2 linked regions of the Astyanax mexicanus genome follow. The protein of the gene in region 1 interacts with the protein of each later gene in a pairwise test. Links are inferred from orthologs where the notes say so. Each region holds a gene or a part of one and is shown on either strand. Other genes may lie near its edges.

What was found.
Region 2: the proteins of rab4a (region 1) and gripap1 interact in binary tests that used the Homo sapiens proteins (3 or more experiments, as listed by UniProt). The link is inferred for Astyanax mexicanus from reciprocal best matches to the Homo sapiens genes RAB4A and GRIPAP1.

The regions. Positions count from the first base shown.
Region 1 is NC_064414.1:38,733,534-38,737,463, forward strand, and holds the start of rab4a (ras-related protein Rab-4A), read left to right. Parts: upstream 1-886; 5' UTR 887-1,019; coding exon 1,020-1,035; intron 1,036-3,175; coding exon 3,176-3,256; intron 3,257-3,352; coding exon 3,353-3,467; intron 3,468-3,930. UniProt on the Homo sapiens protein: The small GTPases Rab are key regulators of intracellular membrane trafficking, from the formation of transport vesicles to their fusion with membranes.
Region 2 is NC_064419.1:3,022,709-3,026,638, reverse strand, and holds the start of gripap1 (GRIP1-associated protein 1), read left to right. Parts: upstream 1-914; 5' UTR 915-961; coding exon 962-1,003; intron 1,004-2,651; coding exon 2,652-2,718; intron 2,719-3,930. UniProt on the Homo sapiens protein: Regulates the endosomal recycling back to the neuronal plasma membrane, possibly by connecting early and late recycling endosomal domains and promoting segregation of recycling endosomes from early endosomal membranes.

The sequences.
Region 1 (3,930 bases):
TAGCCATTAAGGCTGTTAAGGTTTTCACAGCTAACAAAGCAAGCAGCTGTCAGGGGTTGTGCGCAATATGCCTGACTAAGTAAGGTAAACATGTCTGCATACTGTTTTAAGCCTGAGCCCGTCAGCTTTTGGTATAAGAATTAAGTGTCTTCTATTTAGAATTATACCATGTCTCACCGCAAGATACTCCAAAAAATCACCATAATTTATTCTAAGATGAAAATAAAAAGAAACCAATTCAACAGTTGCAGCTGTCTGAGATCCAGAAATTGTTTGCAGTTAGTCCAAACATGCTTTAGAATGGATGATATGGGGCATATTTTGCCCCTGCACATAAATAATCTGAAGAGCCCTGACATTTAAAACAAAACATTTAGAAACTTTAAAAGTGCACAAGAAGCTTATTAAAAAACACTGTTTACAACTCGAAGCATAACCTAATCTCTGGGCACCGCCATCTTTTTAAATTAATATTTTAAAGTACTGTATCTTAGAAAGCTGTGGGAGAGGGGAGGTGGTCTATTCAACAAAGGTTAATCCTTTTTATCATGTTTTACTACACAATTTACACCAGAGTTCTACTTTAATTTACAGAAAAGCATGTTTTACTATTATCTGGCTATGACTTAATTATCTCGTTCCAATGCATTAATTATCTCGTTCCCATGCATTAAGATCTAATTCCCACACCTTAATAAGTCGTGGCCACGCATTAATTCCTTTTTTAACATGATGTCACCTTACGGGCTCCGTAAAAAGACGGAATCTTTTTTTTTTTTTTTTTGCTGTAATTTAATTTAATTTAATTCCAGGGCTCCGGGATTAGCTGGTGAGGTCCTCCCGCTGCGGCGGATCTGCAGCCTCTCAGGCTTTTACTGTGAAAATCTCTACAGGAAGTTCACAGCCTGGGAAGTCCGACAGGATGCGCGGATCCCTCTGAGGGATTTCCCGTTATTTAATATCCTCTCCGATTCAACAGAGGCTAATAAATATCAGACCTGACTCCCACAGCGTCTGCCATGTCGGAGACATATGGTACGGAGCGCTGGGTTGTGTGTTATTCCGCTGTCACGGCTGTGTCCGCGGGGCTGTGTTTATATAGCAGGTGTTCAGCTCTCATCCACCGCGCTGCTGCTGCTGTTGTGGTGTAAAGGATCGCAGGCTAAGCGCGGGGATGTATCGGTAGCAGGCAGGCAGGGCCGGGGAGCAGCCGCGGATAAACACCGGGCTGTTTACTAGCTGGAGAGAGGAGGAATTTAATACAGACCGTGAACAGGGGCAGGAGGGCGTGAGGAGAGGGCAGGAACGCCCTGAATACCGCTGCTGTGCTGTAAGAGGAGTGTGTATTAGATAGCCTGGTGTTACTATGCAGTAGAACCGAGCCTGGATCATTAGTTAGCTTAGTTTATCCAAAACTGCTAGCGTTATTTATTAGCTACCTATCTAGCTAGCTAACTGATAACTAACCTAGCTAGCTATGTTAGCTAGCGTTAGATATATAAGTTAGCTAGTTATGGTAACTGCTAGGTCAATTTAACGTTACTGGATGTTGTTCCAAACCTTAAACTACTGTAGCTATAGCTGTAGCTGTAATGTTAGCTGCCTGTTAATAAACAATACACTGATAGTTTAACTTACTAGCTAGTGTCTGATTCAAACTAGGATTAGCTATTTAATGCAGGTCTATTTCTGTGTTTTTCTTGGGTTAGTCTTTAGCTAGATTTGGTTTTAATGTTTGTGGTAGGGCTGGAAGGAATTAACCCTTTCAGACCCTGTGTCAGTTACAGTGGACATCATGTAGTTTTTTTGTCAAATGGTTTTTTTCACAGTGCACTATTTGAAACCTGTTGTGCATTAGAAAATAACATAAACCAGCCAATGAAACAGTAGTTTAGCCCCGCCCACTGCACTGGGAATAAATCAGCAACTCAGACATTAGGGCATGTCAGCACTGCAGAACAATTGAGGCAAAGTAACACAAGCTCATTATTACTAATTATTTGTGATTTAGAACACTTTTTGATTTATTTTTATGAATAAAAAAAAAGTTAATTGGATTTATTTGTATACTTTTTTTATTAGGATAATAGTGTCTTAGTTTGTGTGCATTACAGACAGAAAACTTAAGCTACATGGTTGGTTTAATGTGTTAATATGTTTAAGTAAAATTAACATTGTTGTTTTATTCTATTTATTCTATAAACTACAGCATTTTAAGTTTCCCAAACCTAAAAAAATTGTCATTTAGAGCATTTATTTGCAGAAAATGAGAAATGGCTGAAATAACAAAATGCAGAGCTTTCAAACCTCAAATAATGCAAAGATTATAATTCATAACGTTAATATTCATAAATCTTTTAGAGTTCAGAAATTAAAATTTGGTGGCATAACCTTGGTTTTTAATCACAGTTTTCATGCATCTTGGCATGTTCTCCATCAGTCCTACACTGCTTTTGGATAACGTTATGCAGTTCTGCTTGATTTGATGGCTGTGATCATCCATCTTCCTCTTGATTATATTCCAGAGGTTTTCAGTTTGGTAAAATCATAAAACATATCATCATTAAGTGGTCTCTTATTTTTTTTTCCAGAGCTGTATATATGTAAATAAGTAAGGTATCTTCTGTTGTAAACTTACTAAAACAGTGTTGTTGTTTTTTTTTTCATTATTTGTCTTTGGGCAGTGTTATGCAGGTTTGGGGGCTTCCTTGCTTTTAAACAATTTATTCAAATGATCAGTTTGTTATCAAAATGTTTATTTATAATTGTAGCCAAAGCCACAGATGCTCCCAATCTTACAAAAAATTCTCTCCTAAAACATATTTCATACCATAGAGGATACATTTGACTAATCAAATTATTATTTTAATGCAATTGTCAAAGTGGGATAATTGAGATTGTACTTATTTACATATAGAAGCTGACAGAGGGAATCTCAGAAGATAGACATTTGTTTCTGTCAGAATCCTGTAAATAACTATTTTATACTGCAGTGATTTACATATTTTACATTTGTCTTAACTTAAATATAATGAGGTTATGTTTACATCGTGTTTCATCGTAAAATCTGCATGTAAGGTGAAGAAAAAAAAACACATGCTTATACTAATTATGAAATAAGTGAAATTGTGAAAACTGCTCTGAATAAATGTTACCATTCTTATTTTCTCTTCAGACTTCCTGTTCAAGTTCCTTGTCATTGGGAATGCAGGAACTGGAAAATCCTGCCTCCTTCACCAGTTCATAGAAAAGAAATGTATGTATGTTACCAATAACAATATAATATTATTGAGATGTATTTTTAAACTATGCATCCCTTCAAAAAATAACATACTTTTTCTTGTTCTTGCAGTCAAAGACGACTCAAACCATACAATTGGTGTAGAGTTCGGCTCGAAGATCATTAATGTGGTTAACAAATTTGTCAAACTCCAAATCTGGGACACAGCGGGACAGGAACGATTCAGGTGCGCTCATGACTTCTTTTCAAAACTGAGAAGTTAATTTTAGACATTTGAATGGGGTTGAGCAATATGATAAAAACTATAACTGTTTTGCAGAAATATAATACAATCGAATACATTTGTAATAGGATTATACAGTTGGTAAATGTGTAAAGCACTGATGTGTCTCTACACAATCTAATTATGTAATATTGCCCACCTAGATTTGAGTGAAAAACAAGCTGTGTGCTCAGCATTTAGCACATATGGCCTCTCAGCAGTGTGCAGCATTACACAGAACTACTTGTTCTACCATACACTTGACCTTTGGCATAATATAAACAAAACAGTGATGAATCATTGTTGCTCAGGACTGAAATAAGTTTTTAAAATCTATTATGCTGACCTAAGCTTTGAGTATGAGGTGATTCTGCAGTATTGTTCCAGTTCATGTTTTTCACCTTTCATTGTTTTGACTTGTGAAAAC
Region 2 (3,930 bases), on another chromosome or scaffold:
ATGACTTACTATCTCAAAATAATGAGATAATATTTCAATATAACAACTTAAAATCTCAAAATAATGTCTTAAAATATTAAAATAATGACTTACTACCTCAAAATAACAACTTAGTATCTCAAAAGAATGACCTACTATCTCAAATTAACGACTTAGCCTATCAAAATAATTACTAATTATTATTTTTATTATTTTACTATCTAAAAATAATGATATGGTATCTCAAAATAACAACTTAACAATATTTACTTAGTTCCTCAACACAACCTACTATCTCAAAGTAATAACTTAATTTCTCAAAATAACAATTTAGTATCTTAAAGTAATAACTTACTATCTCAAAATAACAATTTAGTATCTCAAAATAATGACTTACTATCTCAAAATAATGAGATAGTATTTCAATATAACAACTTAAAATCTCAAAATAAAATAATATTTTAAAATATTAAAATAATGACTTACTACCTCAAAATAACAACTTAGTATCTCAAAAGAATGACCTACTATCTCAAATTAACGACTTAGCCTATCAAAATAATTACTAATTATTATTTTTTATTATTTTAGGTGGGGGTAATGGGCTTTTATACGTCAGTGTAAATTAATCTCCAGCATAAAATATTTTTGATTTATTGGAAAAATTACAAAACTGTGTTACAGCCTCACCTGGTCTCCCCTACGCCCCCTGCTGGGCAGGTGAGCTGTGGCTGATGTTAAATTAGACCTATAAAAGACCTATAAAACAAAAACAAGAGCAATCTTGCACAGTAAAAGATTTTTCAGCTTTCTTACCTCCCACATGCTGCATGTTCAGGGTAAAACTGTGTAAATCGTATAATAAAATGAGTGTGTGAGTGAAGAAGCTGCTGCTGTGTGAGAGTGTGTGGATCCTCTGCACCCCCTCTCGGTGGACCTGCTTCTCTCGGTACTGAACTCCTCCTGGTTCCTGCGGGTGAAGATGGCGCAGGCTCTGTCAGAAGAGGAGTTCCACCGTATGCAGGTGAGTTTATGGCTCTGTGGCTCTGTGTGCTGGTTAACAGCGGCTGTGGGGTTTAAACTGTAATGTAGAGGAGCTGCTGAAGGGATTTACGCTGGATTTTAGGCAGGATTTTGGGGAAAAAGGGGCGTAATCTGGTCAACAGGGCCCTCCTGTATTTTGGTAGCTAGCTATGTTAGCTTTAGCTAGTTAGCTTAGCTTAGCTTTGCTAGCTACAGTCTGCTGACTGCTGCTGCTGTGTGTTTACGTTATAGCGCTGGCTAGCTAACGCTAGTTAGCTTAGCTTAGCCTAGTTTAGTTCAGTCCAGCCCACCGGTTAGCACTCAAGCTTTTTAGGTTGCTAATATTAAAATTAAAATGTTTATAAACTTTTAGAGTGGCGTAATATCATGTTTTACCCCTTATCTTATATACTCCGTGGTTTTAATTGCATGATAAAGGTGTTTAAGTCAGATTTTCGAGCTTATTGTAACGTTAGCAAACGCTAACTAGCTAGCAAGCCTAGAGACCTAGCTAATTATGTTAGCCTAGCTAACCAAACAGCAGCACAACAAACAGCTGTTTCGTTTATTTAACACTCAGAATCCGCTTTTAATTGTTTAGAAAATATTACAAATATCTTAAATACTGCCCCAGTTCCTTCACTTTAACGCTACGTCTCCGCAACACTGCTGTCAAGCCTCTTTTTCTGCATGGAGCTTCAATTTTTGTTGACACAGAGATGCTTGGAACTTCAGGTGAAATGTAAGCTTTCTCAGCCTGCTGACCTGATATATCCAGTTTCGTGTCCATGGTCTTCAAGGCTAATAATTTATTTGTCCCCATTGTTTCCATTACCTAACATAATAAAAAAAGGCTTGTATAATCTTAATAAGCAGTCAGAAGTCTCTAACTGAAGATACTGATGCTGAAATTATGACTCCTGACACTTCTACATGCAGAAGTAGCTGTTTAGTATAGACTAATTTTTTTAAACAAAACAATTCTCCACCTGGATTTAAGTAAGTAAATGATGTGTTGGTTGGTTGATGCTGCAGTTAGTCTGCAGGTTTAGGTTCAGCAACAGTATGTGCTGTAAGAATGAGGTCAGCTGACTCTACCTGAATATACTGAATATAGACCAGGTCATTCCTGGATCAATGGATTTTATCTTCCCTGATGGCACAAAAATATGTCAAAGATGACAATGCCAGGATTTAGGTTCTGGAATTGTGAAAGAGTTCAGGGTTCAGGGAGCATGAGATCATCATTTATCATTTTCACACATGGATTGGATTGTGAGTTCATGACAGAGTCCAGATCTTAACCTCATTGAGAATCTTTGGGATGTGCTGGATGGAGAAGAGCTGCTTTGTACCGTGGTCAGACTCTACCATCATCAATGCTGCTGCTGCAAGGTCTTGGTGAAAAATTAATTAATGCAACACTGGATTGAAATAAATCTTTTGACATTGCAGAAGATCTCATCGAAACAATGCCACAGTAAATGCGTGCTCAGTATGATCATTTTTTTTTTACATGTTTTACATTCGTTTATCAGTGCCTTGGGCTGCAGAATGATCACTAGAGCTGTTTTACACCAAAACAATATGACATGCCATCTGATGGGTTTGTGATTTTCTTTTTGATGCTTTTGTTTTTGTCAAAACAGGCTCAGCTGCTAGAGCTGCGGACCCAGAACTACCAGCTGTCTGATGACCTGCGAAAGAACACTGCAGGTAAACAAGCAATGATTATACAGAGCTTTACACACACAGACACACACACACACAGACACACACAGACACACACACACACGACTGCCTACATTAGAGGTGCTTAAGTCATTGAGTGTATATGTAGGGGTGGAAATCACAGTGCAGCTCACATTACAGTATTATCATGATACATTGCCCAAAATAACCATGATGATGATGATACTGTGATTTTGCTTCTGTATAACAAAAGACAATTTTGTACGATAATTCACGGCATCTGTGTTACTGAAGAGGATAAAATACTTAAATACCAGGAATAATCAAACACCAGGGATTATGGATTTACTGGATGTGATAATCAGTGTACTTCACCACAGGTTTACCCTATTCATTTGATTAGGTGATTTGATTTGATGTTTCAATAAAAATATGGATATTTGATGCCACAATATGATGCAGAGTAATCGATGGGATACATATCGCAACATTGACAAATTGTTTCACCTGCTTAACCATGCTGTCCATTATTAAAAACAATCCTAATGCTAGAAGATATAACTTAAAATAATTATATCAATATAGCTTTTAGATGTATGGCATAGGTTATATGTTTTTTTTTTTTTTTTTTTTTTTTTTGGTTAATTTTTTTCTAATTTTTTTTTAGATATTTTAGATATTAGCTGCCAAATTATTCTGCGCACCCCCATTATTTATTATTTGTGTAAGCCTAACTAGTCTGTGTTTATTTTAGATTTTTTTTTTTTTATCACTCTATTTTGGACATTATCCATCATCAATTTTGAGGATTGTCACTCCACTGTATTATACTGAAATATAACAGTGATATGTTGATGGCTAGGGTTTTGTCTACTAATATGTTTACATGTTCACATCAAGTTGTTTCCAGATATAGAGGGAATTAGATCTGCTGTGCTTAACTTAACACTTTGTGTAAGGCCGGCTGATCTGATACATTAATCTCCTAATCACACTACACACAGTGTTTACTCTCACACAGCACCTGTGATACTGTTCCAACGTATTTACTTTAATAACAGCAGCATAGAGCTGACCGCTACCTGGCATATTAAATATGGAATAAGTGGCCTAAAGACAATGCTCGAAACTCCACCCGTCTCGCTAATATCTAACTAAGCAGTAACTGTAGCAGTAACAGTAAACCTGCGCATGACTCCACATCACCTTATATTTAACCACTCAGTTCACCTGGTC